Saccharomyces cerevisiae S288C: one gene and its partners. The gene in region 4 interacts genetically with the main gene of each other region. Each region holds a gene or a part of one and is shown on either strand. Other genes may lie near its edges.

Region 1 (7,385 bases), on a different chromosome or scaffold from region 4:
ATCGAATGTACCCCAATAAGAGCAGAGAGTGTTATAAGCTTCTGATGAGATGGTAGTCGAAGGAAGCCCATTGAACGTTGCTGTGAGCTCGTAATTATCAGTTGAAGCGTAGTCAGATCCGTCAGACATCGATTTGCAATAGGCAATGTCAGCATTATTCACAATCATATCTGAAGAGCCAGTATCTAACTGTAGGTACAACGTTTGTGGAGGCGTTCCGATTTCCATCTTGACAACATACACTCCTATTCCATTTATCACTGTGGTGTTAAGAACCTCATTTCTTTTGAAGACGGTAGAAACATCCTGTGTGCATATATTTATAATATCAGCCAACTTTTGAACAGGAAACTTAACATAGGAACTTGCGGAAGACCCTAAAACGGTCAATGAACACATCAATGATGACAACAAAGAGAGGATGGAAATCAATTGCATATTGATAGCTTTGCGTTGTCTTCAAATATCCTTATTTTCGAAAGAGACAAAATTTAACAACTGATCAACCAATGAAAAAAGAGAACAAGGAAGAACGATGAAAAACCCTATTCCAAGATCATAACACCTTATATACTCTCAACTTTGAAAGCAGTTCCAAAGCTTAAATCCTCGAAGAGTACTGCTTGCATGAGGTTTACGCAACAGGTCTAGTCAGTTTTAACTCCTCGGATATCTCGAGATATTTTGCTGTAGTGAGCGACAGGGTAGCAAATTTTTGGACCCTTAACCCCTTATACAAATTACCACCATATGTTCCTTTTCTGCAGCGAAAACCTCGGTGTTGTCAGAAACAATTTAAGAAAAGCACAGGCGAAATTGGGCTTGCACTGGGTGATCAACAATGCCAGAAATAAATGAGAAGCTTTTTACTCTTGCTTTTGCTTCTTCCTCTTTATGTTCAAGCCAGCCAAGCTATGTTATAGTGTTGAATGTCTTGAACCGTTATAGTTTCTAAAAATAACTTTACATTTTGTTATGCAATCTTCATCATCTCGAACTTTTCAACAAACGTTCAACAGTGATGGTCTTCCCCAGTGAACCAAAAGACATATGACGCTCGTATGGTATGTTAAAAACAACATAGAGGATAGTAGGTCGGGGTTTATTGTAGAAAGGACATAAATAGTTGACGTGGTAAATTTTCATCAACTAAAGCCACATCTATTTTGCCAAGTAGGAGATAATGTAATATGTAGAGGGATCGAGATTTACTGAAGCCTCACGTGAGGGCAATCTGGAATCAGATTGCACTGGTTTGCACCATACCTCTCAAAGAAGAAAACGTACTACTTTTTTAGTTGAGTATGGATAGGGTAGTGTTTCCTAAAGTTATAAGGTAAAAGGGGCAGAGGAAAAGTCGATAATAATTTGAAAGAAACTTGCTTCCATATTCACAAAGGAGCTGGATACTTCATGTCATCCGCACATATATCTACAAAAATTTCAACTTTTTGAGGTTGATACTAAGTCTTTCGCTACCAAAATGAAAGAAATCAATTTGGAGAGACTTAGGCTGAATATTTCCGCGTTCTCTCTGGGGATGAAAGATTTCTTACTGCAAAGAGTTTCAGTATTTACGGATTGGTTACAATTTTTTTTTTTTATCATAATCAATTCTTTGAATATCAACTTCTCTCAATACCATCCGCCTCTCAGCGGCTACAATTACGTAATTGCACCAAGGCCTTCGCCGAGAGTTTACATATTTGCAGACCCTAACAGTATACGACTCCCAACACACGTTTAATGTTGTACGAATTCAAGAGATAGAAATATTTCTTGCATGGAAGCCGTTTAGAGCAGACTGAATATGGGCTTAGACAATAAGCTTCTGTACGAGGGTCCAAATCTAAAATTCGGATATTCTTTTTGACCGAAAAAGGAAATGTCACAGGCACAGAAAAGGGTTTTATAAGGCACCTCGGCACCCTATAATTGGCATTCCCACATTCTGCGCATACGAATACACATGAGTGCCATAAAACAATACTCCACATACGAAGTCTATGAAAGATGTATGATTCGTTCAGAAACAAGGTCATCTCCATAGAGATAATGAGATTGTGTGAAAGATGAGATATGGAGGATATGTGAGGTGCTAAATGAGCACCTGTTAACGAATCGTTTAAGTAGTGATGACTGATGAAGGCATGGGTATAAATAGAGCTGCTTCAACTGTATGTCTTTGAGAATATGTTTTTATTCCTTTCTTTCCTGTTAAGCTTATATCAGCACTAAAAAACAAAACAAATATAATGGTCAAATTAACTTCAATCGCTGCTGGTGTCGCCGCCATCGCTGCTGGTGTTGCCGCTGCCCCAGCCACTACCACTCTATCTCCATCTGACGAAAGAGTTAACTTGGTCGAATTGGGTGTTTACGTCTCCGATATCAGAGCTCATTTGGCCCAATACTACTTGTTTCAAGCAGCTCATCCAAGTGAGACCTACCCAGTTGAAATTGCTGAAGCTGTTTTCAACTATGGTGACTTCACCACCATGTTGACTGGTATTCCAGCTGAACAAGTCACCAGAGTTATCACTGGTGTTCCATGGTACTCTACCAGATTGAGACCAGCTATCTCCAGTGCTCTATCTAAGGACGGTATTTACACTGCTATTCCAAAATAGAGACATGCCTTTACGAATGAGATTCCATAGACATTGAAAGTAACGAAAAAATGAAATAAAAAATGCTTTCAATATAAATACAGCTGATTACATATAAACATATATTAATATTATAAATTCATTTGCTTTCACGAACTACCGGCTGGGCGTCAATATAATAGGGAACGCATAGTTGCTCTTTTATCTTTCTCACAACTAGGGGTTTTTTTATGTGAGCTGTACGGAATAGGCCAGTTTTACAACAGGATTCGTAGATCAGAATCCGTTCAAGCTATTCACCTGTTACAGCAGTAGAGTTGCTCTTGTCTTGACCCGTGAATATTAAATACTGTAGAACCAGAACGGATACTTGAATATATTCAACGATGGGAAAATAAAAAGACATATAAGAAAAATGTGCTAGTACGGTAAGGAGGATACTGAAAAGAAAAGGAAAATATAGTTTAAAATAGTAAAGATAACCCACTTTCGTTATGGGTTTAGTGAGGGTTGGTAACGAACCGTAGCGCGGTGTAGTATGCTGTGAATAATTGTACTTTAGCATAGTTAACATTACAATCTTTGTACGTTTATATAACAAATATGATAGAGTATGAGAAAAATTAAATGATACATTTTGAGGTTAAGGTTGAAACTATTATATGGAAGAAAGGTGGAATATAGTTAGGGCCAAAATGACACTATAAATGACATGATGTGAGCCTTAGTAAGGTGAGAGCTACGCTTCCTGGTTTAAATCAAAACCGAGAGCCCAAAATATTATCGGTATCGACGTAACATTTCAATGTCATTCAAGCTTAAAGGAGATCAGCGCAAATGCGTGAAGTCTTAGTCATTGTAAATGCGATTTTTCTTTGTTGAAGGTGAAGTCGGAAAATTCACATGACTGCAAAAAAATCCTAGTCTACAGTATGGTAACCAAAAAATGCTATATATACATATGTCCTGCATGAAAGAGAGGGCGAGTTTTCAGTTTGACAAGCTTTCTCTTATTGCTGCTATTCCTCTCTTTTGTTTGCCATTTTCAAAATTTGTTTTGTCTAACCATTCTTCAAAGGTTTTACGAATGCGTAACCATTCTTTATCGATTATTGAAAACCATTGAGTGTCGCGAGTGCGACCCTTATATACCACCACTTGTCGAAACGTGCCTTCATACTTAAAGCCTAAGCGCATCGCTGCCCTCCTTGACGGCCCATTTAAACTATCACACTTCCACTCATATCTCCTGTATTGAAGATCATCAAATACATACTTCATTAACAGAAATTGAGCTTCAGTTGCAATAATCGTCTTCTGTAATTCTGGTGAAAAAACAACATATCCAACTTCTAGTGAACCGTTGGCTTCATCGATTCTTATTAAGCACAATGTACCAACGGCACGTTCAGTCTCTTTATTAATAATTGCGAAAGGCACAGTATCTTTAGTTTCATTGAGTTCCTTAATGAATTCTAGATATTCCTCCAAGTTAGTGAATGGTCCCGCAGGTAAATACGTCCATAATTTTTGGCCTGCCTCACTATAGGCACTAAAAAGTTCCGAACCATGTCTTTCTCTATCTAGAGGTTCTAGTCTGCAAGTGTTACCTTTCAATACAACTTTCTCTGGGAAGGCCCTTGTTGTCCAACCTTCGACGTCAGCACCAACTTCTTGCCCAAATATATTTAAATTCGCCATAATTGTTTCTACTGAAGGGCATTATTTCCAGGTTCAGAGGCGGGAAAATTCTTGCAAGGCGTCCTCCCATGCTATTTTTATATCATTGTTGATTGTTTATCAACCTCTTATCAACCTCCTATCAACCTTTGAAGAATGGCTCAAAAAAAAAACAACCTTCCATTATGAACCAATAAACAGAGCAAATATCACGTGCACAAAGAACTACGAACTTTTTGACTTTCACACTGGCGATGATCCAAGACGTATTACAGTACAAGAGATCTGCTTTATTGTAAGCCCAGTAAACAGCTTCTTATAGACTCTGCAAATATAGGTACAGAGTTTGCATAATTTTCTAATATACACTTATGCCTTATGATAATCCCAATTTTGAGAAGGAGACAAATTCAGCGAGTGGCGTATAAGTGCGTGCGCTATTGAAACAAATCTCACATAAATGTGTTTATGATCAGCAATAACCTTATCGATGCAACAGAAAATGTGATTCGCGAAATTTGCATCTTTCTTTTCAAAAAATATTTCAAAAACAAATTGCCAAGAGATGATGAAAACAAATCACTCAATTCAAGTTAAATAAGAACTCGTGTATATATAGAAAATATGAGGAAATGTACTCCATTTCAACTGCTTGACTTTAAAATGATGCTGGCTCATGAGAAGCCTCCAAGAAATAATATCGGTGTTACTATTCCAATACTTTCGATCCGCTCTGTGCTAAATAGGCAAACTCAAAAGTAATAAATACATACACATATTACGGAGATTTGTGCCTTTAAGGAATATAAATTATAATTATCTGCTAGTTTACATTTTAATGGCTCCAAACATTTATTTTCTAGAAGTGCTCCTTAATAAACAATAATCTTAAAAGAATAATTATGGAGCGTGTCCGGTTGTAATTAATACTCAGTAATTATATATAATTTGAGAATTATGCTCGTGTGCATTTTCTTCCAATATATTATACTCTGAACCATGTCGTGCTGTGTGCATAAAATTGCTCGATGAAAATCTTAACCCACCTTTTAGGTTGAAAAAAACATGTTCACTTTTTCACTAAAGACTTGTTACCACGGATTGTGCTTCTTTAACGTATGGCCATAGCTCAACGTTCAACGAAGCAAACCACATAGTTTTTTTTAAAGATAAAAGGCGATAGAAAAAGCAGCTAAAAAACCATTCACAGTCAAGTCCATCGTAGAAAAACTCTTCATTATTCCAGACTTTTTTCTCAAACAAATACCTATTCATTTTCTTTGCAATTTCGTCCCATCCATTCGCACCGCTTTCTTGCTCATTTATAATAGTTGACAAGAACTGCATCTTGTGTTCCATTTTAACGGATAAAACAATCATTCCCATATTTTGGAAATCTCTCGTCATGATAAAAAACATTACTACCGGAAACAAGAAACGTGATATAAGGTCAACATTTCCAGACGTGTAGACAATTAAAAAATAATAAAGGAAGACTTGTAAACACCGCAGCTTGAAAATCCTTTTAAGAATCCAGGTAAGCTTAAATCGGTAAGCTTCTTTGGGAAGTTTAGCATCTTCTAGGCCAACAGGGCTCCATGATTTTTCAGTATTAAACAACTTCCATTGTTTTTCAACTTCTGTAAAATAAACTCCCAATGCTTCTTCAATGTAAGAGACGGAATCCTTAAATGACTTAACCTTGGCAGCTTCGTCTTTTTTCAAAGAGAAGGGTTCGAGAAGGGTTGTTCTGAACGCTTCTTGGCAGCCCATGGCATTGAAGAAAAAGTACCTAGTATTCCAAGCCTTATTTTCATATAAGTACGAATTTAGATTTGCTGCAACGATTTCCCAATTATGAGTATCCAAACTTGGTGCGTTTTTAGTAATATCTTTGCAAAACTGAGTGAGTTGTTTCGATAAGGAGCGCTTACGAGAAGGTTCACGAATAACAAGGAGAAATATTGGTCCCAAAACCAGGACAAGAAGTGAAACTATAAATTGGTAAACCCAATTGTTGGAAAGTTTCCATCAGATGCTAAGTGGTAGCCATAATAGCATCCAGATGCGAAACGCTAAAGACTTGTAAATTTCATAACAAAACCAGGTCAATTCGTTTCGGAAAACATCCTGGGGTAAAACAGTCTTTTGGGATTCGAGCTGTTTGAAGGATAACACATCTACGCTTTTCTCATCTTTGACTTCATTCTCTTTCATTTGGTAGTGAGATGGCAGTTCGAGGTTTTTTTATTCAAAGTAATAACTTCTTCCTTTTCGCTTTTATGTAGCAGAAAAAAAAGCCGCCGAAGCGCGCGCGTTCGTGCAATCTCATGATAGAAAAAGGGCAACAATGTTGGGCTATTTTAGACAAAGAAACTCAGCTATTCGAAAAGGGCATCCATTTCATTTCCGGTTTTCTATCTAAGTTACTCGATAGTCGTAATAATACTTTTATAAAACTTTAATGCGGGTACTTTGAGAGCGTGTCATAACTTTGGCTTACGTTTTAAGGTGCGACCGGCAATGTCACTGCTCGCACAGCAGTTGCCGCCTGAAATGAAACACATATTTAAGCGTAGATTGCCTGTGAGAAAACTGTGTAAACATATAGTAGAAAATAGACGTAGCTGTCACAAATATTTACACGGGAAAGAGTCTGGCCTACGAGTATCTTACATGAAGATTCATAGAACCAATTTATTTCCCTATATTGATAACCTTTCGATACCATTTTAATGCCTTCTCCTTATGTTTGTTGTCACTGTAAAACGGATCAAAGCAAAAACTTAGAGGTATGGTGGTACTCAGATCATGCATGACCTCTGGGTAATTACCACTTCTCCCGCTTGTTTTGAGATTCTGTATATAAATATTGCAAACAAAAGGATAGAGCGCAAATGACAGACCTTATAGTATAAATTGTTCGTTTAATCATGCGTCAGTGTGAGATTCCATGACAATAGTATGGGAAGATAGGGCGAAGTGAAAATATCTGTATGACTATAGAGTGCAGTTATATTACAATATATTAAATAGAGCATAGTGGTACGACGATATTAAGGAACTTTTACATTAATGACGTCATGGTAGTGCTCA
Region 2 (8,364 bases), on a different chromosome or scaffold from region 4:
ACTTTGTCTCCGTAGATGAATTCAAATCTATGATTAAGAACAATGAATTCATTGAATGGGCGCAATTCTCCGGTAACTACTATGGTAGTACTGTCGCTTCCGTCAAACAAGTCAGTAAATCTGGTAAGACTTGTATTTTAGATATTGATATGCAGGGTGTCAAATCTGTCAAGGCTATCCCAGAGTTAAATGCCAGGTTTTTGTTTATTGCTCCACCATCGGTCGAGGATTTGAAAAAAAGATTAGAAGGTAGAGGTACGGAGACCGAAGAATCCATCAACAAGAGGTTAAGCGCCGCTCAAGCTGAATTGGCATATGCTGAGACAGGTGCCCATGACAAAGTTATTGTCAATGATGATTTGGACAAGGCCTACAAGGAATTGAAGGATTTTATCTTTGCAGAAAAATGATGTAGCCCTATATAGACATTACTAAGTATGTACCTGGTAGGAGAGTGCTGTCGCAAAGCGACAAAACGTCCAATTATTCAATTAATATAGTGTAAAAGTTCTCAACGGGCTTATGCTAGTTTTTTTTGTTAGTAAGCGCTACGACGACTAGAACCATCTCTTGAATTTCCAAGTGCCAAAATCAATGACCACGGATACTGTGGCCAGGAATCTGTTGGTTGGTCATCCTCAAGATCTAGACAATATCATATTGGGCCAGTATCTGATTATCTTAACTATATGCGCCCCTCTAGTTTACAAGTTTTAGTCATTGGGGGTTGGAAGGGCTGATCCCCCCTTACAATTGGCGTCGTTTAGGAGCGGGCGAGGCTCTCCTTTCTCTTACACATCTGCTAAGGTGTTTGTTACCCGAGTAATCAAGGATCAACTATGGATGAGATTTAGATTAACGTATTTAGAGCAGACGATTGTAAGAATATATTTTGTAATTTCGATTGTTTTTTGCTACTTACATTGTTTATCTTGAAATATCCAAAGTGAACACTATTACTGTTTTTTGCTCAAGAATATATTAGCCTTACAAGAACGTAAAAAACCAATCATGGTAGCAGAAGTTCAAAAACAAGCCCCACCATTTAAGAAAACCGCCGTAGTCGACGGTATCTTCGAGGAAATTTCACTGGAAAAGTATAAAGGTAAGTACGTTGTTCTAGCTTTTGTCCCATTGGCTTTTTCATTTGTCTGTCCAACTGAGATTGTTGCGTTTTCCGATGCCGCCAAGAAATTCGAAGATCAGGGCGCCCAAGTTTTATTTGCCTCCACCGACTCTGAATATTCCTTACTGGCATGGACCAACCTTCCCAGAAAAGACGGTGGATTAGGTCCAGTTAAAGTTCCTTTGCTTGCTGATAAGAATCATTCCTTATCCAGAGACTATGGCGTTTTGATTGAAAAAGAAGGTATAGCTTTAAGAGGTTTGTTCATAATCGACCCGAAGGGAATCATTAGACATATCACTATCAATGATTTATCTGTTGGCAGAAACGTCAATGAAGCTTTGAGATTAGTCGAAGGTTTCCAGTGGACTGACAAAAATGGTACAGTTTTGCCATGCAACTGGACCCCAGGAGCCGCCACCATCAAACCTGACGTTAAAGATTCCAAGGAGTATTTCAAAAATGCCAATAATTAATCTTCGCACGATAACGCTAGGCCCTATTAAATAATTAAAAATACATCACCCTATATATGATAAGAAAGATGGTTTTGTATTATTATGAAATTGACTTGAAAGAATAGTGTAACAAAAGAAAAAGAAACTGTAATTGAAGAATGATATGCATTTCTATGTGTATATTAACTTAATCATCTTTATATCCAGAAGACGCAAATGACCATTCGACGTATTTTTCCCATGCAGGTTTGTTTTCGTATAATCTGCCTGCAAGATCCAAATAACTTCCTACTGTTAACGAATCCATTGAGTATGGTTTCTCGTCTGAGGTATATTCTATCTCATACCTGAAAATATCCTTAGATTCAACAAATGAATTATGTAATTCTTGATTGATTTTTTCCAAGTCGGCGTAGAATTGGACGAAACGCGTCGGAGTGAATAACTGCGGTACATATGCAGGGCCGAGTTCGTATTTGTCTGGCATCTCAATTGGCATAGTCTTGTCATTTTTCTTTTTCTTCTTGTTTTTCTTTTCGCCCATCTTCTCGCGGTTGATCCCAACCTCGATATTACTGCTGTCCATTTCATCTTCTAGCAAAGAGTCTTCCATAATCTTATTTAGTGACTCGAAAAATTCATCCCAGGGCTTATACTCCGAAACTGCAAAATTGGAGTCATTCACTATGTCGGTGATGTTATATTCCCAGATCCTAAAGGAAGGATTGAAAGTTGGAATGACTGAACCACCTATGTTCACAATGGAATAGCGTTCAATGAGCTCTTTTCTAGTGATTGGCTTTTTCTTTTTTTTGTCCTTCTTTTCTTTCTTTTTCTTCTCATTTTCAACATTTTTTTCATCCACTCTTTCCAGCTTATTCCACACTTTCCGATAGTATGTGTCGCGGACGGTGTTCATATATGCTTCTTTGTTAGATGGTTTCGCTCCCATTAAAAAAACTTCTTTTGCCGCCATAGCGTGATCCAGAATTCTATTCAATTCAGTTTCTTCGTCCTCTTCATTACTGTCTTCTCCTTGTTGAACACGAGTGGATTGCTCCATGGCTTTCAATAACGATTTTCTAGCTTTTTTACCATCCGTTGGGATGAAGTGGTCAATATTCATGTGACCGTATAATCCTCCAATGATTATATCCCTGTATTCGTGAGTCCATAGCGTGAACTTATCGTAGCACGACTGATCGAAATTTTTTGCGATTGGAGGTACATGTCCACTTAACCATACTTTCATTCCCCTACTCCTTAGTTCTTCTAATACATAACCGAACCAAAGTAAAAGTTGGTAACCTGGTTCTTTTTTTGAATTACAATTGTCAACTAACGGATTGGCCTTGAATAAGTACAGCGTGTTAATTGACAGGACAGCAAGCTTCCCTGGAATAACTTCAGTCAAAAATGAAGCACTCCTATCAAAAGTTCTTTGCTGCTGCTGCGGAACAAAATTTTTCCAAATCCTATAATATTCTCTAGTTTGTAGAGTTGGTCCTAGTGCAAACATGTTATGTGGAAAGACATCATTGTTTCCAAGACTTGGAATGACAGACACATCAAAATCTCTTGGATCTTCTTCATTGCCAGCACTAAATAATTCTGTCATTTTATCAGCAACGATATTGTTCATATCAAAAATTTGTGCTTCTGTTCTTGGATGTTTCCGGTCATTGTCATGTCTGATATTATCACCCGTCCAAATGACAAAATCAATCTTATCTCTAAGATTTTCTTTAATCCATCTCAGAGTTTCTTCCATTAAAATAACGGGAGAATCACATCCAGACATTGCCTTCCCAAACTTGGGTGCCACATCCTTTTTTTTGCTTGGTTTTCCTGTGTGACAAACTGCATCAATAGAGCTTCCTTCCACATAATAAGGGTCAGGATGAATATCGGTAATATGAAGGAACCGTCCATGTAATTTTCTCTCCTTCCCTGTCTTTACGTCTTTGATAATTACTGGCTCCCTAGGTGTCAGTCCTAGCCTTGTAAATTCTATGTCATTGAGCAATTGAAGTGACTCGTTGTCCCCCCTGTCATCTAAGAATTTGGAGAAAACGGAAACATATTGAAATTTAGCACCAATTATAAACACGAGGAAAAACAAAACACAGGTCGACAGGATGGCAATCAATGATTTCTTCTTCGGCCTACTCATGCTTACATTGCGCACTTCACTCTTACCCACTACAACCATCGAAAAGCAGCTAACTAGCTCTACCCCTACTCAATGAAAACAATAGCTGGAGACAAGGAGATCAAAAAAACTTTATAATTCTCCAACCCAACAACCAAAAAAAATATTGATCTGTTGATTTTAGCCTTCTTCTGACTTGTATTCTACCATAAAACCCTTTACACTCTCAAATGAATCTTGGTAATTAAAAGTGCAATATAACTTTAAAGGTGCTAAATTCTAATAACGACATATGTCCTCAATAGTCGGGTAATGGTCATATTTGTCCTCTACCGTACGAAGGGAGCATATTATGCATCCTGCTCGAAACGCTCAGAGAAGGGCCGCACAGGTGGGCAGATCACATTTCCTCTTTCGGCTATAAACCACGTCCTAATTTGGACATGACGCGCGCCAAAAACCCGGAATGGTAAACATCAGACGCGCTTTCCGTGCAGGGATACGTCGGTATTTTTAATATCAATGCTGAATTGGGTTAATAGCATGAGACATTTCAGCCAGATTTTTCGTTTACTCATTGTTTATTTGTTTGATCTGGATCACACAGATGAATGTTTATAAATATATATATGGCGTCCTCCCGATCTTGCCAACGTAGATTATAATTCGTATTATCTTCTTCTTTACCCTCGCCAGCCAGTGTAACTAGCATTTGTAGGGAAATAACAATAACACAAAATATCGTATATATATAACATGGAAAGCAGAAATACCGTGCTTCCTTCTTTACCAAACATTATTACAGGTACTTCTAATTCGCCTTTCCAACTGCATACTTTGCCAAATACAAACTTCCCTAGTGATGACCAAGGTGACATCAGGTTGCCACCATTAGCTGCATCTGCGCACATTGTGAGACCAGTGGTAAATATTTATAAAAGTCCTTGCGATGAGGAAAGGCCAAAAAGGAAAAGTCCACAGGCTGTGGATTTCTTATCACAACGTGTAACCACTTCCATGACGCCTTTATCCAAGCCCAAGAAGCTGAGCTCTCATTCACCATTCACGCCAACGGTCAGAGTCTGTTCTAAAGAGCAGCCACCTCAGAGTATGCACTCTTATAAAAAAGTTAATATTCTTACTCCTCTATCTGCTGCAAAGGCTGTTCTCACACCAACCACAAGAAAAGAAAAGAAAAGGTCATTTGCCTTTATTACACACTCACAGGAAACTTTTCCAAAGAAGGAGCCTAAGATAGACAATGCTCGGTTAGCTCGTCGGAAAAGAAGAAGAACTTCATCATATGAGCTTGGGATATTGCAAACAGCATTTGACGAATGTCCCACGCCCAATAAGGCTAAAAGGATAGAGTTATCCGAGCAATGTAATATGTCCGAAAAATCGGTTCAAATATGGTTTCAGAACAAAAGGCAGGCTGCTAAAAAGCACAAGAACAGTGGCAACACCAGCCATTGCAAAGTTCACTCTAATGATTCGATGTCTATGATATCTTACTCAGACGCTGCGTTGGAAATTACCTCTACGCCAACGAGTACGAAGGAGGCTATTACTGCAGAGTTGCTGAAAACTTCACCTGCCAATACGTCCTCGATCTTCGAAGACCACCACATAACGCCTTGCAAGCCCGGCGGACAGCTCAAGTTCCACAGGAAATCTGTGCTTGTTAAGAGAACATTATCAAATACCGGTCATAGCGAGATTATCAAAAGTCCTAAAGGCAAGGAAAACCGCCTAAAGTTCAATGCATACGAAAGAAAACCCCTTGGGGAGGTCGATCTCAATTCTTTCAAAAACTAATCTTTCTCAGTGTTTATTTTCTTGAGCACTGATGCTATCAATATTAACAAAAACTACACAAAGTAATGACTGAGACTACACCAACGTTTTTTTTTAGATTTAAAGCGGCCTGTTTCATAAATCTATATAGAGATGTAATATTATATTCTTTCAAGGGTCCATTTATCCCTGAAACCCTGTACAAAAAAAAGGCAAGTTGAAATTATGGTCACAAAATTAATTTTCTTTTCTTTATTTATTTTAAAAAAAAGTCAATTAGGAAGTGCTATGGAAATATATGTACTCGTACAAAAAAGATTAAGCTTGAATAATCTTATCAGTTTAAGCTCTTCTTCTACCAGTGGTCTTGGTGTGTTGACCTCTAACACGCAAACCCCAGAAGTGTCTGATACCACGATGAGCTCTGATTTTCTTTAATCTTTCCAAGTCATCTCTCAATTTGGATTCGACGTTGTTAGCCAAAGTGTGGTAGTCCTTACCATCAGTGATGTCATTTTGACGGTTCAAGAACCAAGCTGGGATTTTGTAGTGAGTTGGGTTTTGCATAATTTGAACAATTCTTTCCAATTCTTCTTGGGTCAATTCACCAGCTCTCTTGTGTAAATCAACATCAGCCTTCTTACAGACCAAGTTGGAGTAACGACGACCAACACCCTTGATAGTGGTCAAAGCGTAAACGATCTTAATGTTACCGTCAACGTTAGTGTTCAACAAACTGCGTAAAAAAATTTAGACGGGAAACCGAACTTATTGATAAACGTTAGTAAAAAATGTGCATAATGGATTTCACGGCCAAGACAAAAATCGGAGCAGGATATAAAATTTTAGTGTTGGTTGGTCAATATCCGCCAATAGCTGATTCATTGTAAAGCATTCCCGGTACTTTACCTCCGACCGCTATTGCAATGTTCCGTAATTATGTGCGCTTATGCCAAATTCATGTTCCTTTTTGATGCATAAACCATAAATTTGTTCATCAGCCTTATTATTACGTTCTTAGTCCAGCCCGGGAACATCATTATTATATTTAATCACGTCGTTAGCGAATAATCGCCACGATTAAAGAGGTGAATGAATTTCCTTTCTTGTCTGTCATATTTTTAAGTTTTTAGCCGATTTTGTCATAGCTCACTAGTAATAATAAACATACCGTAAAATGTGTTGGAAGGAACCTTGTTCTTGGACAACTAAAGACATCTTTTATCCGCTCTTGTGTATACGTTCACTAGTATCTCAACGTTTAAAAACTCTACTAATAACATGTAGAGCTATCTTCAATTAACCCTAGCTTTGACAATACTTAGTGGTCGAATGACAGATGTGTCCGACCTGGCTGGGGCGACATTTGCTCTCCCGGGCATGATCTTGGGATGGGCATATGGGACTGGGAAAGGCATCTTTCGGAATCGCAGTTCCCCTGAGCGCGCGTCTCCGCAAGGAAACACCATATGCCGCTTCAAATTTCTAAAAGCAGCATGTAGAATATTTTCAGATAGCATGCATGGGTGCGTAATGTACGGATGTTTAATGTCTTTTTAATCATTGAAATTAAATGTACTTTTTTGTTGCCAGACACGAAACTGTACGCCAGTAAGTGATGTGGATGCTATTTTAAAAAAGTTTTGGATATAATGGCCTGCTGTTCCTAAAATATACTAGAATTAATAATATCGTTCTCAATTTATGCTCATGGGCCGTTTAAAAAAAATACTTTGTAAAAGTTAATTTAAGGTATTGACTGCACAAGTGACAAATTATAACCACATCTCTATTGAAACACTTGCCGTGATCAAGATTATATTATACATGTATGCTATTTAATTTTTTCAAGTCCTATTTTTACTTGTTTTCAGGTGCAAAACTGCTTTAGCGCAATACCGGTAAGAATAACGAAAAAAACTTGTAGTATCAGTACTTTATGCTGCGGGTGATAAAGTTCGATGCGTCAAAATATTACTATATCGTTAACATTATGAGCTTTTACGCGAAGTGGCTAGGTTCTATTTTGTGCTTTTCCTGCGCTGTCAGATATAAGCTTCATTAAGTGATGGGAATCCGAACACGCTTTTTCATCCGGGTATTCTCTTGAAAATTTTTTAGAAAGATCTGGGCGATGAGCTAAATATCAGGAACACACAGTGAACGTGAATAAACACATATCTAAGGGCATAACATTGTGAAATTGACCAGAGATACACACATCACCGATTTCTAATAATGTCGAAGACAAGATACTATTTGGAACAATGTATTCCTGAAATGGATGACTTGGTGGAGAAAGGACTATTCACTAAAAATGAAGTTTCATTAATTATGAAGAAAAGAACTGATTTTGAGCATAGATTAAATTCCAGAGGGTCTAGCATAAATGACTATATAAAATACATTAACTATGAAAGTAACGTCAATAAATTACGTGCCAAGCGGTGTAAGAGAATCTTACAGGTTAAAAAGACGAACAGTCTATCTGATTGGTCTATTCAACAAAGAATAGGTTTTATTTATCAAAGAGGAACGAACAAATTTCCACAAGATTTAAAGTTTTGGGCAATGTATTTGAACTACATGAAAGCGAGAGGTAACCAAACATCATACAAAAAAATTCACAACATTTATAATCAGCTTCTAAAGTTGCACCCAACGAATGTGGACATTTGGATTAGTTGTGCGAAATACGAATATGAAGTTCATGCTAACTTCAAGAGTTGTAGAAATATTTTTCAGAATGGGTTGAGGTTTAACCCTGATGTGCCTAAGCTATGGTATGAATATGTAAAATTCGAGCTGAATTTCATCACTAAGTTGATTAA
Region 3 (8,730 bases), on a different chromosome or scaffold from region 4:
CATTCCCGGCTGCTTCCAAGTTGGCGAGCCGCAAGACTCAATGCCGCTGTATATTTTTACTGGGAAACAGGTTTGAGTGTTCACAGATTGAAATTTTTATTAATACCTATTAAAGTGAAATACTGACAGATACTATGTACATGTAGGGGTAAGTTGGTGTATGGTGTGTACAGCCAGGAGCAGCTCCATCTATAGCAAGCTTGAAGAGTACATATGGACGCTTAGTAACGTCTGGTTAGGCCGGTCTCTCGATAAAACCGCGAACCCGTTTCTTTCCCCCTGCCAGTCCTCTCTGTTAAGAGTTGAAGCCAGTTTAGTGATGCCGCCCAGTACTTCTATCGTATAATCTCCAAAAAGTGTGTATAGTTCGCTTACAGAGGGCATTTTCGATGAAATATCCGCGAACCCCAAGGCGCTCACTGATCCAGCATCTAAAATCGAAATACTCCCATGGTTGTGGTGGGATAGCGAGTCCAGAGTGTACTGGTCAAAGCATATCTCTGTAAACAAATCGTGGAATGGCACTATCGAGTTTTCTCCGACGGTCATGAGTAGACATTTCTGCCGGTTGCTTCCTTCGAACGGGTACACTAGTTTCTGAGTGATATCCATTTTAGTAAAAGCTTTCCCGACACCCTTTCCGAAGATTCTGCCGACCATTTCCCCAAATCCCAGTCCTACCATTTTTTCCATATCAGCATCGCTATTCAGCTTATTTTCCTGCAGATACTTCAGAAGATAGCCCCAAGCGGTGAGTAGTAGGACAATAAAGTTCAGCGCACAAGAAGTTATTTTCAAAGGACCCTTCCACTTAAATGGTGCGCAGTTGAAAAGAAACTGCATGGTTTGAATTATGTTAGTAGCAGTATTCAAAGCGGTTTCCGCTTTGTTTTGTGGTTGCGGTGCGGCAGTCACAGTTGTGATTTCGGTGATTGTTGACGTAGTAAATACAGTTGTTACATCGACCGAGTGACAAAGTACGGTTAGGGAGGTAACCAACGCAAGGAAAAGGACGGTTGTCCTTGATTCTCTGGAGTAAAGCATGATCTCGCGCACGCTCTTGCTATTGACAGCCTCGTTGTATCAACTTGTGTTTAGGAAAGGAGGCAGAATAAAGATTAAAAATGGAAGAAAAGACTCAATGGTTCCAGCGAAACAAAGATGCTTGAAAAAAAAAATAATTCAGAAACGAGTCTCTTGTCAGGAAAGCAGTGTCAGGAAAACAGTGTCTGTTCTATAGTTTGTGTTGTGTCCCTCAAGCACTTTTGTTGTTAAAAAACCTTGCTAAAGTTTTGTACAGGTTTATACCGTTGTGCAAAAACTGCTGCTAGGATAACTGAACAGTTGTTTCTGTGGCAGATGTCGTGAATAGGCGCCTTTATTTTAAGGGTCCAGTGATTCGCGATGTGAATAAATACGCGCGCCGCTCTCGAAGGAACCTTTTGAGGCTGCTTCTGTCGATAAGAAGGCTTGGCAAAGGCCTTTGCTTTACTGCTTCTTTCCCGCCTTTTTGGTGCATTGGGTTAATTGATGAATATGCGTAAAATTTAAATCAGACTATGAAAACATATATAACAACTATTACAAGAGGGAAGTGGTAGTCTACTTGAAGAGGCGCGCCAGAAGAAAACGGTGGTAAGTACGAAGTTATGTGTAGACTAACTTGCTCGTTAAAAGTATTTCGTCAGCCGTGCCAAACAGTTCGAACTATCGGAACTTCTGACGGTTCACTGATGTACAAAAGTTGAGAGCCATTTTCGTAACCGGCTTTTTGTCCCATGCTCAGAAGGATGCATTGGTACGGTCACTTCGATATTCCTTCTCTGTGAGTGGAGCCAGAGCTTTTTGTTAGTTTCTAGTTCTGTTGCTGTGCGAGACTCACGAACAAGTAGTAGCCGGCATGGTTTAGATGGTTCTGGCACGGTAAGCTGAGGAGCGCTATTATGGTTGCGGGTAGTACAGTCATTAGAAGGTGGAATAGATTCCTTGCATATGTCTATCAGTGCCTGAAACGCCCTCTCAATGAGGGAGGTGCCAGGACTCAAAATTAAGGATTGTTCGGCGGGATGCGGTAAGCCTTCGTATACTAGGTTGTTGGACGGAAAAATCTGATACGGCTTGATCTGAATGTTAGGATCGACCTTACTGTCTAAAGTATCGAGAGTGATGTTTCCTTTTCGGTTTAAAGACTTCTTCTCGCCGACATCGAGAGAAAAATGAATGTGATCAAGAACCAGATCTATTTCTCTTTGTGTGTTTTTCCAGGGACAAAAAATGGAGTAGGGCTCAATCCTCTGGAAACCTTCGTATTTGTATTGGTATGAATAAAAACGGCACTCTGCTTCCTCCATAAGTTGGTCGTAGCTGGGCATTGTATCGAAGTTGAAGGGTCTCTTCCAGAATGGAATACTTTTATTTGAGGGATTGTAGTACCTTCTGGGCTCAGATTGTTCGTCTAAAAGCAGGTATTGAACAGCTATCATCTTGCGCTCAAATTTAAATTCGAGGGAATCGTAGTCAATGTTCTTTGTACTTCTCAGAAAGAGTGGACAGTATTTTCCCATTTTGCTTTCAAACCAGTTCTGTGGCCTGTCAAGGTACTGTTGCATGTATGAAGGAACTACAGTAGTCAACGTGTGGTTAGACTGGGAAAATTCCGCTGCGGACCCGACGCTGCAGCTTATATTTTGATTGCGGGGAGCAGGAGCGCAGGCATCTTGTTTAGATTTTTGGCTTGGATAATGTTTGTGGTGATCAGTGGAATTTATTGGGCAGTAAATTTCAGTTGGAATGATAGATTCATTCGTCTCTTTTGTTCTGGAGTCCTTGGTGCGGCGGAAATCAAAGCAAGTCACTTCTGCGTTAAGCGATGCGAAATTGCCGTCTGGAAATGACGATATGTGGGGAGAATGAGGAGGATTCCATGACGAATAAACTGATGAGGATGTGCTAACAGATGAGGTTAGTGAGGGTACCGATTCGTTGTTTTCTGACGCAGAGTCTGTTGTGGGAGATGTGGTAGCGTTATTTCTTTGCACAAGAGAAGGTGGGAGCATAGCACGGTTGTGGGAGGAGGAAGAAAGCATTACGTTGCAACTATCATTTACGGAGTGGGATAAGAGGTAGGAGGTTGTCATAGCGGTGCTTTCTTCCTGGTGCATGGCAGAAGACGTTGGCAGTAATTCGTTTATTATGGTGACATTGTCGTGATTAGAAAGGACTGTCTCTTTTACCATTGCCTCGGGTATGTTTTTTGACGCTTGCCCTGAACTTACTCCAGAGCAAGCCTCAGTAGAAGAATGACCGGAATGATTCCTCTTATACACGTTCCAGAGCGGAGCATTCTTGACATCATAAAAAAAGTTGCTGACAGGATCTTTGGACTGGTTGACGTTAAGTGGTTCCGTAGCTGGTCTGATGTTTTCTTGTACGGTATCACTGACGGCTGAGAAACCTTCAGAGGAACCGCTTTCGGGAACAGACTTGGAGGATTGCAAATTAAGCCATTGAAAGTCTAGCCCAACCTTGTTGCAAAAGGCCTTGAACTCCTGGAAAGATGTAGACATTATGTGGGCGAAAAACAAAATTAGACCAACGCTTTAGCAAATTTTTTCAACCTCAAATTGATATTTGAAGATTAGATCGGATGGTTTTTTTTCCTGTGGTGTAGGCCAAGCTTAAACAAGGTTTTAAGTGAAAGTGGAAATAATTGTGATAAACATGCGGAAAGAGTGCCAGCCTTAAATAATTCCGCATTGTTGCTATGTCGTTTTGTTTTTGTTTTTGTTTTCGTCTTATTGGTATTTGTTCATTTTACGACCACAAAGGATCCAGGGCTTCTACTTGCACAGGGAGGGTTGCTTGGTTAATACAATACAAACGTCAGAGATATTAAGATTTGTAAAGGGTGCATTCAATGAGTTTTTCCTCAATGTGCCCTAGAAAGGAAGTAGTACGAACATTTCTCAGTCGGAGTTTGCCGGAAATTCGAATGACAGTGTAAGTTGAGTTTTGTGGCACAGGGATAATGAGCGGTGGTGCTGGCACACAGTAGTGACGTTGGTTTGGTAGTGTGGAGGGACGGTGGAAAACAGATAACAGTGGTCTCTTGGCCCAGTTGGTTAAGGCACCGTGCTAATAACGCGGGGATCAGCGGTTCGATCCCGCTAGAGACCATTCTTTTTTTTTGCATTGGCAATGTGATTTATAAAAGTTTTCTTAGTCCAGATTGTAAAAATGTTAGATGGGACTACAGTGCACGTACGCAGTCATTAGGACATAGGCACTGGCTCGTCTTACTGTGTAAATAAAAACTACTTAAGTTCGAGAATCTCAAATTAACTTCTAGAGCATGGCTAGTTATTCTTTAGTTGAATCGAATTCTTTCGGGTCAGAAAATTGGTGTCTTAAGTTACAGCCTAGTTATAAACATGGTCTTTTAACTGGATTAAGTAATGGCGAAATACGTTTGCTAGACTGGAGTACTGGTAAATCAGTACAAAAGATTAAGGCGAGCGAAACTGCAATCAATGATATGAAGGTCATCGGTAGCGACTTCTCTGCTGGTCATCTAGTTAGTAGCGCCTCTATCGACGCGGTGAAAGTTTTCGATATAAGGACGAATGACCGCATTGCTCAAATTCAAAACGAGGCCAACTCCCCCTTTATTTCCTTAGATTCTCGTCATGGTCTATTGGCCTGTGGTACCGAATTGCAGGGAATTGACGCTGCTGTATACATATATGATATTCGCAAATGGGACACTCCATTGAGATCATTAATTGACTCTCACCATGATGACGTTACCTGTATTAAATTTCATCCTTCTGACGTCAATATTTTGCTCAGTGGTTCAACTGATGGTTACACGAACATTTATGACTTGAAACAAGATGAGGAGGAGGACGCTTTACACCAAGTTATTAATTATGCGTCAATACATTCCTGTGGATGGTTGTCCCCAAAGAGGATATTTACACTATCACATATGGAAACATTTGCAATTCACGAATTGAACGACAAATCTGACGAATTGAAAGAGCCACAACCCTTGGACTTTGGTGATGTAAGAGAAATATGGAACTGTGACTACGTGGTAGATATTTACCCTGGACTCATTGCAACCGGTAAAACCCAAGAAAATTGTGGAGAGTTGTGCCTCCTACCATTTAAAGATGAGAAGGTGGATACTGAAAACGGTATTGTTATCCCACACGCCCATGGAGACGAGGTCGTCAGAGATATTTTTATACCAGCACAACATAGCAACATGTTATACTCCTGTGGTGAAGATGGTTGCGTTAAAATTTGGGAAAACAAACAGGGGCCGTTAGATATTCCAGAAAATTTTTGGGATTACTCTAAAAAAATGAACGTCTTAGGAGATGACGACAGAGAAGGTTCCATTAATTTAGACGAACCTCTTATTATTCAAAAAGAATCGGTTTCCACGAGGCCAAGGAAGGAGAAACACAAGAAAGCCAAGAAACATTCCATGAAAAGTCGTTTCAAACCATACTAGTTTCATAAAGACAATACATCTAAAGAGATGCCTAACATCTGCAAGAGATTTCGGCAGAACTACTCTATAACTTAAAAAACGAAGCATACATTCCAAACAAGTTGATACTTCTAGATCATAGTTTATCTTCATAGGGCTTCTTTTGTTGGTACAATGTTATAACAACTATATTTCTGCTATATAGAGTATTAATGCATTTTTTTTTTTTATCTCCAGCATTAAACGTGCACGCTTCTATAAGGTGGAAAAAAAATACTAGAAAAGGAATAAGTGAAACACCACGTTGATGGTGAAAAAATATAAAGGGGCGAGCTGGGAATTGAACCCAGGGCCTCTCGCATGCTTTGTCTTCCTGTTTAGGCAGGAAGTCGCCCAAAGCGAGAATCATACCACTAGACCACACGCCCGATTATTTTATGGTGATTTCTGTCTCACAGGAAATTGTTATCAAAGGATAAATAGCATATTTGTCTTAAAGAAGGTTTTATAAATAGACATGCAGAATGTACTTATCAGTGGTATTGGAATGTGTTGGAATAAAAATCAACTATCATCTACTAACTAGTATTTACGTTACTAGTATATTATCATATACGGTGTTAGAAGATGACGCAAATGATGAGAAATAGTCATCTAAATTAGTGGAAGCTGAAACGCAAGGATTGATAATGTAATAGGATCAATGAATATTAACATATAAAATGATGATAATAATATTTATAGAATTGTATAGAATTGCAGATTCCCTTTTATGGATTCCTAAATCCTCGAGGAGAACTTCTAGTATATCTACATACCTAATATTATTGCCTTATAAAAAATGGAATCCCAACAATTACATCAAAATCCACATTTTTCTTCATGGTAGCGCCTATGCTTCGGTTACTTCTAAGGAAGTCCCATCAAATCAAGATCCGTTAGCCGTTTCAGCTTCCAATTTACCGGAATTTGATAGAGATTCCACTAAGGTTAATTCTCAACAAGAGACAACACCTGGGACATCAGCTGTTCCAGAGAACCATCATCATGTCTCTCCTCAACCTGCTTCAGTACCACCTCCACAGAATGGACAGTACCAACAGCACGGCATGATGACCCCAAACAAAGCTATGGCCTCTAACTGGGCACATTACCAACAACCATCTATGATGACGTGTTCACATTATCAAACGTCACCTGCGTATTATCAACCGGACCCACACTATCCGTTGCCACGGTATATCCCACCACTGAGTACTTCCTCACCTGATCCAATCGATTTAAAAAATCAACACTCTGAAATACCTCAAGCTAAGACAAAGGTGGGAAATAACGTCTTACCACCACACACTTTAACATCAGAAGAAAACTTTTCTACATGGGTTAAATTTTACATCAGATTTTTGAAGAACTCTAATCTCGGTGACATCATTCCAAATGACCAGGGTGAAATCAAAAGACAAATGACTTATGAAGAACATGCGTATATATACAATACCTTCCAAGCATTTGCCCCATTTCATTTATTGCCAACATGGGTAAAACAAATTTTAGAAATTAATTATGCTGACATCCTTACAGTCCTTTGTAAAAGTGTGTCCAAAATGCAAACTAACAATCAAGAATTAAAGGATTGGATAGCTCTTGCCAACCTTGAGTACGACGGAAGTACATCTGCTGATACATTTGAAATTACAGTCAGTACGATCATTCAGAGGCTAAAAGAAAACAATATCAATGTTAGCGACAGATTGGCCTGTCAACTAATACTTAAAGGTCTATCCGGTGACTTCAAATACCTACGTAATCAATATCGTACCAAAACGAACATGAAACTTTCCCAATTATTCGCTGAAATTCAGTTAATATATGACGAAAATAAAATCATGAATCTAAATAAACCGTCCCAATACAAACAACACAGCGAATACAAAAATGTTTCTCGCACATCTCCAAACACGACTAACACAAAGGTTACAACTCGTAATTATCAGAGAACAAATAGTTCAAAACCAAGAGCAGCAAAAGCTCACAATATTGCTACATCTAGTAAATTCTCAAGGGTGAACAATGATCACATTAATGAATCAACCGTTTCATCACAATACTTAAGCGATGACAACGAACTTAGTCTTAGGCCAGCAACAGAAAGAATCTAAGCCAACACACACAGTAGACTCGAATGACGAACTACCTGATCACCTTCTTATTGATTCAGGAGCTTCGCAAACGCTTGTCAGATCAGCCCATTATTTACACCATGCAACACCCAATTCTGAAATAAACATAGTCGATGCTCAAAAACAAGACATTCCTATAAATGCCATTGGTAATCTTCACTTCAACTTTCAGAACGGCACCAAAACATCAATAAAAGCACTACACACACCAAACATAGCCTATGATCTATTAAGTTTGAGTGAGCTGGCTAATCAAAATATTACTGCCTGCTTTACCAGAAACACTTTAGAAAGATCGGATGGTACAGTACTAGCTCCCATAGTCAAACATGGAGACTTTTACTGGTTATCTAAAAAATACCTAATTCCTTCGCACATTTCAAAGCTAACAATAAACAACGTCAACAAAAGCAAAAGCGTAAATAAATATCCATATCCGTTAATACATCGAATGCTTGGACATGCTAACTTCCGAAGTATTCAGAAGTCTCTTAAGAAGAATGCAGTTACATATTTGAAGGAATCGGATATTGAATGGTCTAACGCTAGCACATATCAATGTCCTGACTGTCTAATCGGCAAAAGCACGAAACATAGACATGTCAAAGGATCACGACTAAAGTACCAAGAATCATATGAGCCTTTTCAGTACTTGCATACCGATATATTTGGTCCTGTACATCACTTACCGAAAAGTGCACCTTCTTACTTTATATCGTTTACAGATGAGAAAACCAGATTCCAATGGGTGTACCCATTACACGACCGTCGTGAAGAATCTATCCTCAATGTTTTTACATCGATATTAGCATTTATTAAGAACCAATTCAATGCTCGCGTTCTAGTTATCCAGATGGATCGTGGCTCCGAGTACACTAACAAAACTCTTCATAAGTTCTTTACGAACAGAGGTATTACTGCATGCTATACAACCACGGCAGATTCTAGAGCACACGGTGTCGCTGAACGATTAAATCGTACTTTATTAAACGATTGTCGCACACTGCTTCATTGCAGTGGTCTACCAAATCATCTATGGTTCTCAGCAGT
Region 4 (8,023 bases):
TTTTAAATTGAGTATGCAATGAGTCTTTTGAATCAACCGTAAGGCAGTTCCATAACCACTGCCACGAATACGTTTCACTACCTTGAAGAATCTCTAATGTAGGCCGTATTCTTCGCACTTAGTTCTGACGATGTAGACATCTCATTATATAAGAGCATAAGCGCCTGTTTCTAGAATCATTTCTTCGTGACCCAGCTTTTTGAGTTATTTCGCGGTATTTTGAAACATTTCTCGAGCTTGACGTGAACATCCTTATATTTCATGACAAACTCGATCATTGGAACATCCCTGCCTCGATTTTAGAGCTAGTATCAAATTTCAATCTCTTTGTGATGGAGCCCCGCTCCTATTTCAAAAGAGAAGTTTCTTGTATGCATATGTTATTGAAGTCTGATTATAGCAAGTGCAATGTCGTCTCAATTATTTTAACTATTTTTAGCCATACATGTTAGTTATCCTCAAAGAGAGCCTCCAGACTGGGAAGCAGTGTTTGTCATTTCAAATAAGTAGATTTCACAGTTTGTATGATTTTCGAAGCCAGGATTCATTGGGCTTTGAGTAAAGAGAAGCCGCGTATTACGAACAGCTTACGATATTGTAAAATATTCCCTTATTGTGGTGCCCCAATGGATACATGCCAGAGAAATGTCTGTGAAATTGAACAATTACAATGACGAGAGCAAGTAATCCGGCGGCCTTGTCTCTCTTTCACTAGTACCGTCTATATCTCTTGAGCGCCAATATGCGAAAGCTTTCACAAGGTTGATGTTCATGGTATTCGGCGTCGATAGCGAATTGCTTACTAAGAAACATTAGGGTGCAGTACAGCCTTGTTTTTCCAGTTCGACTAACCTTTTTCTTGGCAGTATGGAGACTGACTAGGTCTCCCAAACATTCATTGTAACTGCTGTTTAAAGATTTTGTTCTAACCTAAATTCAAGTGAGAAGCTGAACATGTGTCTCTACTTATGATATCACGACAGCAAATACTAATCTTGCCATAAATAGTCTAGCGTTTTGCAACTTACCTCTAGATATATTTTATTTCTTGAGGAACCGTTTTCGTCGGTAATAACAAAATACTACTGAAACGCCACAGCATTGAGAGAATACGTTATCGATTACGGCTTTCTTCTCGCTCCAGATGTCGCGGGTAAGATATTCACCTCAAACTTTTCTTGTTGAGTGTCGTCACAAATCTAGAACCTACATGCCATCTCAACGATTTTTCTGGAGAAAGGCCTCACTCCGTTCCGTACGTAATGCATAGATAAAGTATCAGGATCTTCACGATGCTCGAGAGTTACTTAGTAGTCTGAGTTTATGCGAAAAAAACTCCGCCGTTGTAATAATCGGGAATACACAGAAGTAGTACTGCACTATCACTGGGATACTCAAAAACCTTCTTTTTAACTTTTCTATCCCACAAATAGAACATAGGAAAGAACATTGACTCCTCCACTTGAAGTTAAATTACAGGAACAAACGCCTAACTATAATTTCGACATTGTTGCATCAACGAATCGACCGAAAGAAAAATCTGGAGTTGCAGTTATCACTTGTATGTGCACTAAGATTTATATTTTTACTCCTGAGATCTGCCAAATCGGTAGCTTATTGAACTGCGTTCCTTTTTCCCCTGAGTTCTCGAGGTACCTGCGGCTTTGTCTGTGCCATCTCCCCCACTTTAAAGTACCCCACGTTACTACCGCGTTTTTCCCCACCCCCGGCTTAATAAATTAGCTATATCTTGTTGACTTAAATACGGAGAAAAGAAGAAAACCTTCAAGAAATGCTTCATTGTCTTGTCAAAAGAGCTAAAGTAAAAGAGCTCTAGTTCGAAGATGGCCCGCAATAGACAAGCGTGCGACTGTTGTTGCATTCGTCGAGTAAAGTGTGATCGTAAAAAACCATGTAAATGTTGTCTTCAACACAATCTGCAATGTACATATCTTCGACCTTTGAAGAAAAGAGGTCCAAAACCCGTCAAGGTGAGAAATTTAAAGAAAGTAGATGATGTACAGGTATTTAGTAAAAGTAGTAGTGGTGGCATAATGAAGGTTCCAAAGGCACTAATTGATCAGTGTCTGCGGCTCTATAATGATAAGTTGTATGTGATCTGGCCTTTGCTGTGTTATGATGATCTTTACGAACTTTTAGAGAAAAGATATGACGAAACCTGTGTGTATTGGTTCCTGGTATCTCTTTCTGCCGCCACGCTTAGCGATTTGCAGACTGAAATTGAGTCGGAAGGAGGGGTTACCTTTACTGGGATACAGTTATCCAGTTTCTGCATGTCATCACGCCAAGAATTTGACGATTTTAACGGTAGTGATATATTCAAGATTATGACGTACTATTGTCTAAACCGCTGCTACGCACAGATGTCCAACTCAAGAACTTCGTATCGGCTTTCTTGTGAAGCCGTGGGGCTCATTAAGTTGGCGGGGTTCCATCGCGAGGAAACTTTGAAACTTCTTCCTTTCGATGAGCAGCAGCTTGGAAGGAAAGTTTATTATTTGCTTCTCTTAACGGAAAGATACTTTTCTGTGTATACGCATTGCGCCACGAGCCTGGATACCACGATTGCTCCACCACAACCGGAGAACGTAACGGACCCCCGACTATCTCTCGACAGCTTCTTGGAGATGATTAGGGTATTTACTGTACCGGGAAAATGCTTCTTTGATGCTCTAGCTACCGACTCTGCTAATGTAACCTGTACTGAAGACTCCCTTAAAAAGATATGGAGGGAACTTCATACGGTGCCACTTGAGATAGAACCATGGTCTTACGGCTATGTAGACATATCTTTTTCACGGCATTGGATTAGAACACTTGCTTGGAAGCTAGTGCTTCAAATAAGCGGTATGCGAATCAGTTTCCTTTCAAATAGCAAGAATACGCATATTCCAGTAGAAATTGCTAGAGACATGTTAGAAGACACATTTTTAATCCCAAAAAATCTTTATGCAGTTCACGGTCCAGGGATATCAGTGAAAGCACTAGAAATAGCCGACGCATTGGTAGATGTTGTGAATCAGTACGATCAAAATGCAGAGTCGGAGGCTTGGAATTTTTTGTTCGATATATCCAAATTTGTCTTCTCTCTTAAGCATTGTGATAGCACATTAGTTGATAAGTTTACGACAAAGTGTCAGTGTGCGCTTATCACGCTTCCTCTTTCTAATCCGCTTGAATCGACAGATGGTTCTAAAGAAGATGTAGATGCGCTTCCTTAAGTAAACACATTGCTACTTGCATTTTACCTTTCAAGATGTAGTGATTACGGACAGTTGAAGAGGCTAATAGCATCTATTTCTTCTTTAGTATATGGTTCCTGCAGGGCAAACAATTATTTCCTTTGCAATTTTGCGGCAGTGGGGAAGAATGATAGCACTAATAGTGAACTTGTGGACAATTATGCTATTATAGCAAGAAAAAAAATTTATTTTTTTTTCAAGGGGGGTGATTGTGATGTGAATTAAATCAAGGATATACGCTTTTATCGTCATGATAGTCGTGCGATTTGTACTTGGTTATAGATGAAATGAGTTAGTTTTTAATAATTGTGATCACAATATAGCTGTACTTATCAGGCCATTAAAGTTTCCTGTAAGGTGCACGAGAAGTCATGGTCATAAAATTATCAGAATCTCCAAGGAGAGGTTCAACGGCGTCGGTTGCCCATACTCCATATTAAGTACCCTGTCATTTCCACAGTTACATTAGTTGGAGTAGTATAGAAACCAAAAAGATCAGAACTCCAATAGGCAGTATTTGGGTCACAGTATTCAGTGTCACGTTTTTTAGTTTCATAAAGAGGTCCGCAAGGATCATATCCATCCTCATCACGCTTCAAAACTGCATAAGTCACACAGGTAGGAGTGCTCTCACAAGGCGGACTATAGTATATGGAGAGATTGGTCTGTCCGCTAACGGAACCTAACTTCTTTGTATTGGAGTATTCATAGCCCATATATTCAGGCTCCAAGTATGTGGTTTGGTCGCCTATTGTGTACTCATAAAAATTAATATTCATACCATCTTCCCTTTTGTTTGTTGGTAAGCAAGCTTCTGTACTGGCTAAGGTTGTAGTAGCTAGCGCCACGAAGACCAAGAGTGCCGAAAATACGGAATGGGGTATAGACATTTGAAGGTGTGGAGGGATGCTGGTATCCTCCAATTGTTACATTAAGATTATCATCTGGCTATCATGAAATGAAGGTTACCTTTATATAAGAAAGACTTTTAAAAAAATGTTTTGTTTTCTGCTTTAGGGAAGTAGATATCGTTCCTGCATTTTGATATCAAAATAATCTCCGGTAGGCATCAATTGCAGTTAAAGCTCTTTCTGGCAAAAACCCCGATACCCATGTAGGTACGCTCTTTTCACCAGGTCTTAATAATTTGATGGGCACCGTTTATCCCAGGCAAGCCAAAAATTAGAAACAAAAAACAACTCACGTACGTTAAAAAACCTGATAGTGCTTCGTACTACATAGAACCCTGCGCTGTTATCTGCTAATCGAGCACTACTAAATTCCCTCCAAAGGAAGTAGAGTATAGATTCTATGCACCGATGTGAAAATAGTAAACCTACGATAACCTTTTTTTTTTTACTAACCGAATTGAGCAGATATTGTTACCTGTTACGGTCATAAAAGTTAAACGATTTTGCTTTATTTCTGTCCCTGGCTGAAAATAGTAAAGAAGAGGGAAGGCAAGTTCAAGGGCAGCTTAATAAGTCATACGAAAACGTTCTCGAACTTTTTTTCTGCAAGCTTTTCAGAACCACGATGGAAAAAAGAAATTTTTACAACACTAATGCCAAGTAAGGTTTTTCGGATTTAGGGTGGCGTCCTGAAAAAAAAAGAAACGTCTCAGAACGTTTCGGAGAAAAAAAAATAAGGTGTCAAATTTCTTAGTGTTTTGACGGGTGATGCCCTTCCAGATAAATCTCGTGGAGATTGGCTAGCGTCAAACGTCACCGATCTCTATTTCTTTTTTAGGTTATTAAATTTCGATTACATCGCGTGTTCTTAGATAAGTTACCAAGGGTGCTCAAAGGAAAATTATATTTCTTTTTTTCTTTTGAGTAATTGCAGGTGAAGAGATACAGAGCAAGGAACGTGATGTAATGCATTTTTTTTTTTGTTCCTTGGAACCACATGATTTACTCAACAAATTAATCTAGTTTGTGCTTCAAGCATGCACCATTGTGAATATTTTTTTAGTTTCAAGGTGACAGGTTATGAAGATATGGTGCAAAAGACAAATGTATGGTGGCAGGCATAGTAAAATGATGGTGTGGAAGACATAGATTGTATTTGTTTTGCATTATCCAAGTGCTCGAGATTGGTTCTAAAAAACAAGAAAATAAAGGGCAAGAAGAAAACCAGTTACTTCTACATTGAGAGGCCAGCCAGGTTGCCGCACACGTGTTGGTGCACGTTAAGTTTTGGGCTCACAGTGGTAAATCATAGAAAAAGCAGTTGCTTAATTTCCCTCTTTTTCATATTCTCTACGCTAGCACTGTAAGGAAAAACGCAGAAAGCAACATACAACGTTTGTTAGGATGTTCGTACTTCACAATAAGCAGACAATAACCATTTCAAGTGTAAAAAAAATTTTTTTTCTGTTAGTTTGATGCAGAAGACTTATACTTTTAACTTTTTTGGTTAACTTACACAAACCAAGCGCACAACGCCTGCGCTTTTTAGTATTAGATGGCATGATTTGAAAAGCATAAAAGTCTGGATATTGGAATTTAGGGAGGCGGCGGGATAGAGCGATAGTTTCTCCCCATATAAAGTCTACAAAATGTGTGGGTTTTTGATATCGATCGAAATTTCACAAGGTGTTCTATAATGACTAACATTTTTGTGAGCAGTTGACTCTCCTTAGTGCACATTGTGGAATATGTATGCCATGTCTCTTAAAGGGGTAAAAAGAGGTATTCTGCATACTACCAGTGGGGTTTATAGCATCGTTTAATCTTGTTATCCTGTTTCGGTTTCGGCAATTTCTTTCAAAATTCTGTTTTCAATGTTATCTGGGAAAGAAATGTTTCGAAAAATAATACGTAAATTGTTCCGACAAAAGAGTTCTTGTCTATGATTATTCAAAATGCTGACTTTTTATTTAGCGCTTATTGGAGTCTTTGCTGTCTGTAGAAATCTGACCAGGCATACAAATTATAGTTATTTACTAACGCAAGAAGTTTATTGTGGTTTTCATGTGTATGTGGCCACGTAGATTTATTTTGTAAATAAGTATCGCGACAGCTTCTATTTTCTTGGTTTAATACGCCTGTACTAATTTCCATTTTTGAGTTTAGGCGGTGCTTTCGTAAAAATGATATGATTATTCCGCTCATAAATGGTAGTCATGGTAAGGAAGATAAAAAAAGCGCAGTTCCACTGTCAGGCTTCGTTTATTTAACAATATAGATACATCATAAAAGTTTTTGGTAATGTTCTCTGGTTTTACTTCGTACTTCTGATCAGAAGTCTGTTATATCATGGTTCGGTACCAATTTTTTTTATACACCATTGTGATGATGTTAAAACTAAACGTATAAATTGGTCAATTATGTTGCTAGTAATGCAGCTCAAGCAAATTTATTTTATTGGCCTACATAAAGAAAACTAACTCTACAACTTTTACGGTATAAATATGCAATGTGATTTAAAAAATCACTGAAGTGTGTCAGAATATGAGAAACTTTAAGTGAAGCGTCATATTTTTGTGCCCTCATATCAAAAAAATGCTTTAAAAGCAGTCAACCAATGTGCCAAAAATTTTCAAAATTCAGGAACTTGTTGTTCGGCAGACTTTTATTCTGCCTGCTAAAGATCTGCCGACCTACCATAGCGGTCATGTTAATTGTAACGGCTATATCTACTGGGTAGACTGACAGTTGATTTCCTTCGAACGCCAACTCTCGCATTGCCATTTTTAGAATCATCGTTAAATCTTTTATCTCTTTTCGGTAAAAAACTAGATATGACTGATTTGGCCCCACTACCTGCGGCTTCGTTGAGCGTTGCAGGTGGGTCTATTTTTTTGATCCAATAGCTAGCTAAAAACCAGCTTATGACAGCTAGTAAAAGCAGTACCCCCAAAATTCCATACCACCACGCAATACTTCCATTTCTTCCTGGAACTTTTACATTCATACCGAACAGACCAGTAATAACATTTAATGGAACTAACATTGTACCTAACATAGTAACTTTACCCAACATTTCTGTAACTTTATTATTAGAGTTAAATGATTCCACTTGTAATTGGGCCAGGTAGTTTGCATGTGATCTAGAAAAAATCTTTTCGTACGCCAATAAATTTTGAAACATCGTCAACAAATGATCCTGAATATCACCTAAGTATAAAGCAATATCTCCCCTTGGTTGTGATGTTGTTTGCATATAGCTATTTGATAAGCTTATTTGGTTATTACTATTATTCTGGTTCACATTCTCTTGTTCCGCTTGTAAGTTCACCATGTTAGTTTGAGATTTAAGCACTGGCCCAATACCATTAGTTTCATCTTGACATCTTTTGGCGAACATTTTGATAACATCTGCTTTACCGCTCAAGAGTCTCATCAGCGTCATTGTCTTACGCCTACTTTCACCAATCCTTTGTAACATGGCTGCAAAATCCATATCACGGGTCATAAACACTGAATCATCAATCGAATCAGCTTCATACTCGATGGATTGAATAACCGGAGCAAAACTATCTGTGATATCATCGATTAAAGCATAACATAACCAATCTGAATTGACACTGACATAGTCACGTAATTGTCTTACACGTCTTCTTACATTGGCACAGTGTGATATTGGGTCAAAATGAAAAGTCAAGACACCTGACCTAAAAACAACGATGTAAACATTTATAGGTTCAAGATAATTCTCCGATTCTTTATCATTTTCAAATGTATGGAAACAGACAAAGTAATAGGATTTGAAAAGCTCTACCTTTTCACGCGTTTCTTGCATCCTGATATCTTCCG

Evidence for each region.
Region 1: mutations in YFL051C (region 4) and YIR042C together harm fitness more than expected from each alone (negative genetic interaction), as found in Saccharomyces cerevisiae (one large-scale study listed by BioGRID).
Region 2: mutations in YFL051C (region 4) and YHP1 together harm fitness more than expected from each alone (negative genetic interaction), as found in Saccharomyces cerevisiae (one large-scale study listed by BioGRID).
Region 3: mutations in YFL051C (region 4) and YNL035C together harm fitness more than expected from each alone (negative genetic interaction), as found in Saccharomyces cerevisiae (one large-scale study listed by BioGRID).

The regions. Positions count from the first base shown.
Region 1 is NC_001141.2:431,674-439,058, forward strand, and holds YIR042C (uncharacterized protein), read right to left. Parts: upstream 4,311-7,385; coding exon 3,600-4,310; downstream 1-3,599. Other genes in the region: YPS6 (aspartyl protease), read right to left, coding at 1-438; seripauperin PAU15, read left to right, coding at 2,256-2,630.
Region 2 is NC_001136.10:1,358,310-1,366,673, reverse strand, and holds YHP1 (Yhp1p), read left to right. Parts: upstream 1-4,492; coding exon 4,493-5,554; downstream 5,555-8,364. Other genes in the region: GUK1 (guanylate kinase), read left to right, coding at 1-410; thioredoxin peroxidase TSA2, read left to right, coding at 1,012-1,602; PPN1 (endopolyphosphatase), read right to left, coding at 1,772-3,796; 40S ribosomal protein uS13 RPS18A, read right to left, coding at 5,876-6,269, 6,705-6,751; snoRNA-binding rRNA-processing protein UTP6, read left to right, coding at 7,772-8,364.
Region 3 is NC_001146.8:565,313-574,042, reverse strand, and holds YNL035C (uncharacterized protein), read left to right. Parts: upstream 1-4,351; coding exon 4,352-5,521; downstream 5,522-8,730. Other genes in the region: YNL033W (uncharacterized protein), read right to left, coding at 190-1,044; YNL034W (uncharacterized protein), read right to left, coding at 1,728-3,566.
Region 4 is NC_001138.5:26,388-34,410, forward strand, and holds YFL051C (uncharacterized protein), read right to left. Parts: upstream 4,154-8,023; coding exon 3,671-4,153; downstream 1-3,670. Other genes in the region: ZNF1 (DNA-binding domain containing protein), read left to right, coding at 1,845-3,242; putative Mg(2+) transporter ALR2, read right to left, coding at 6,885-8,023.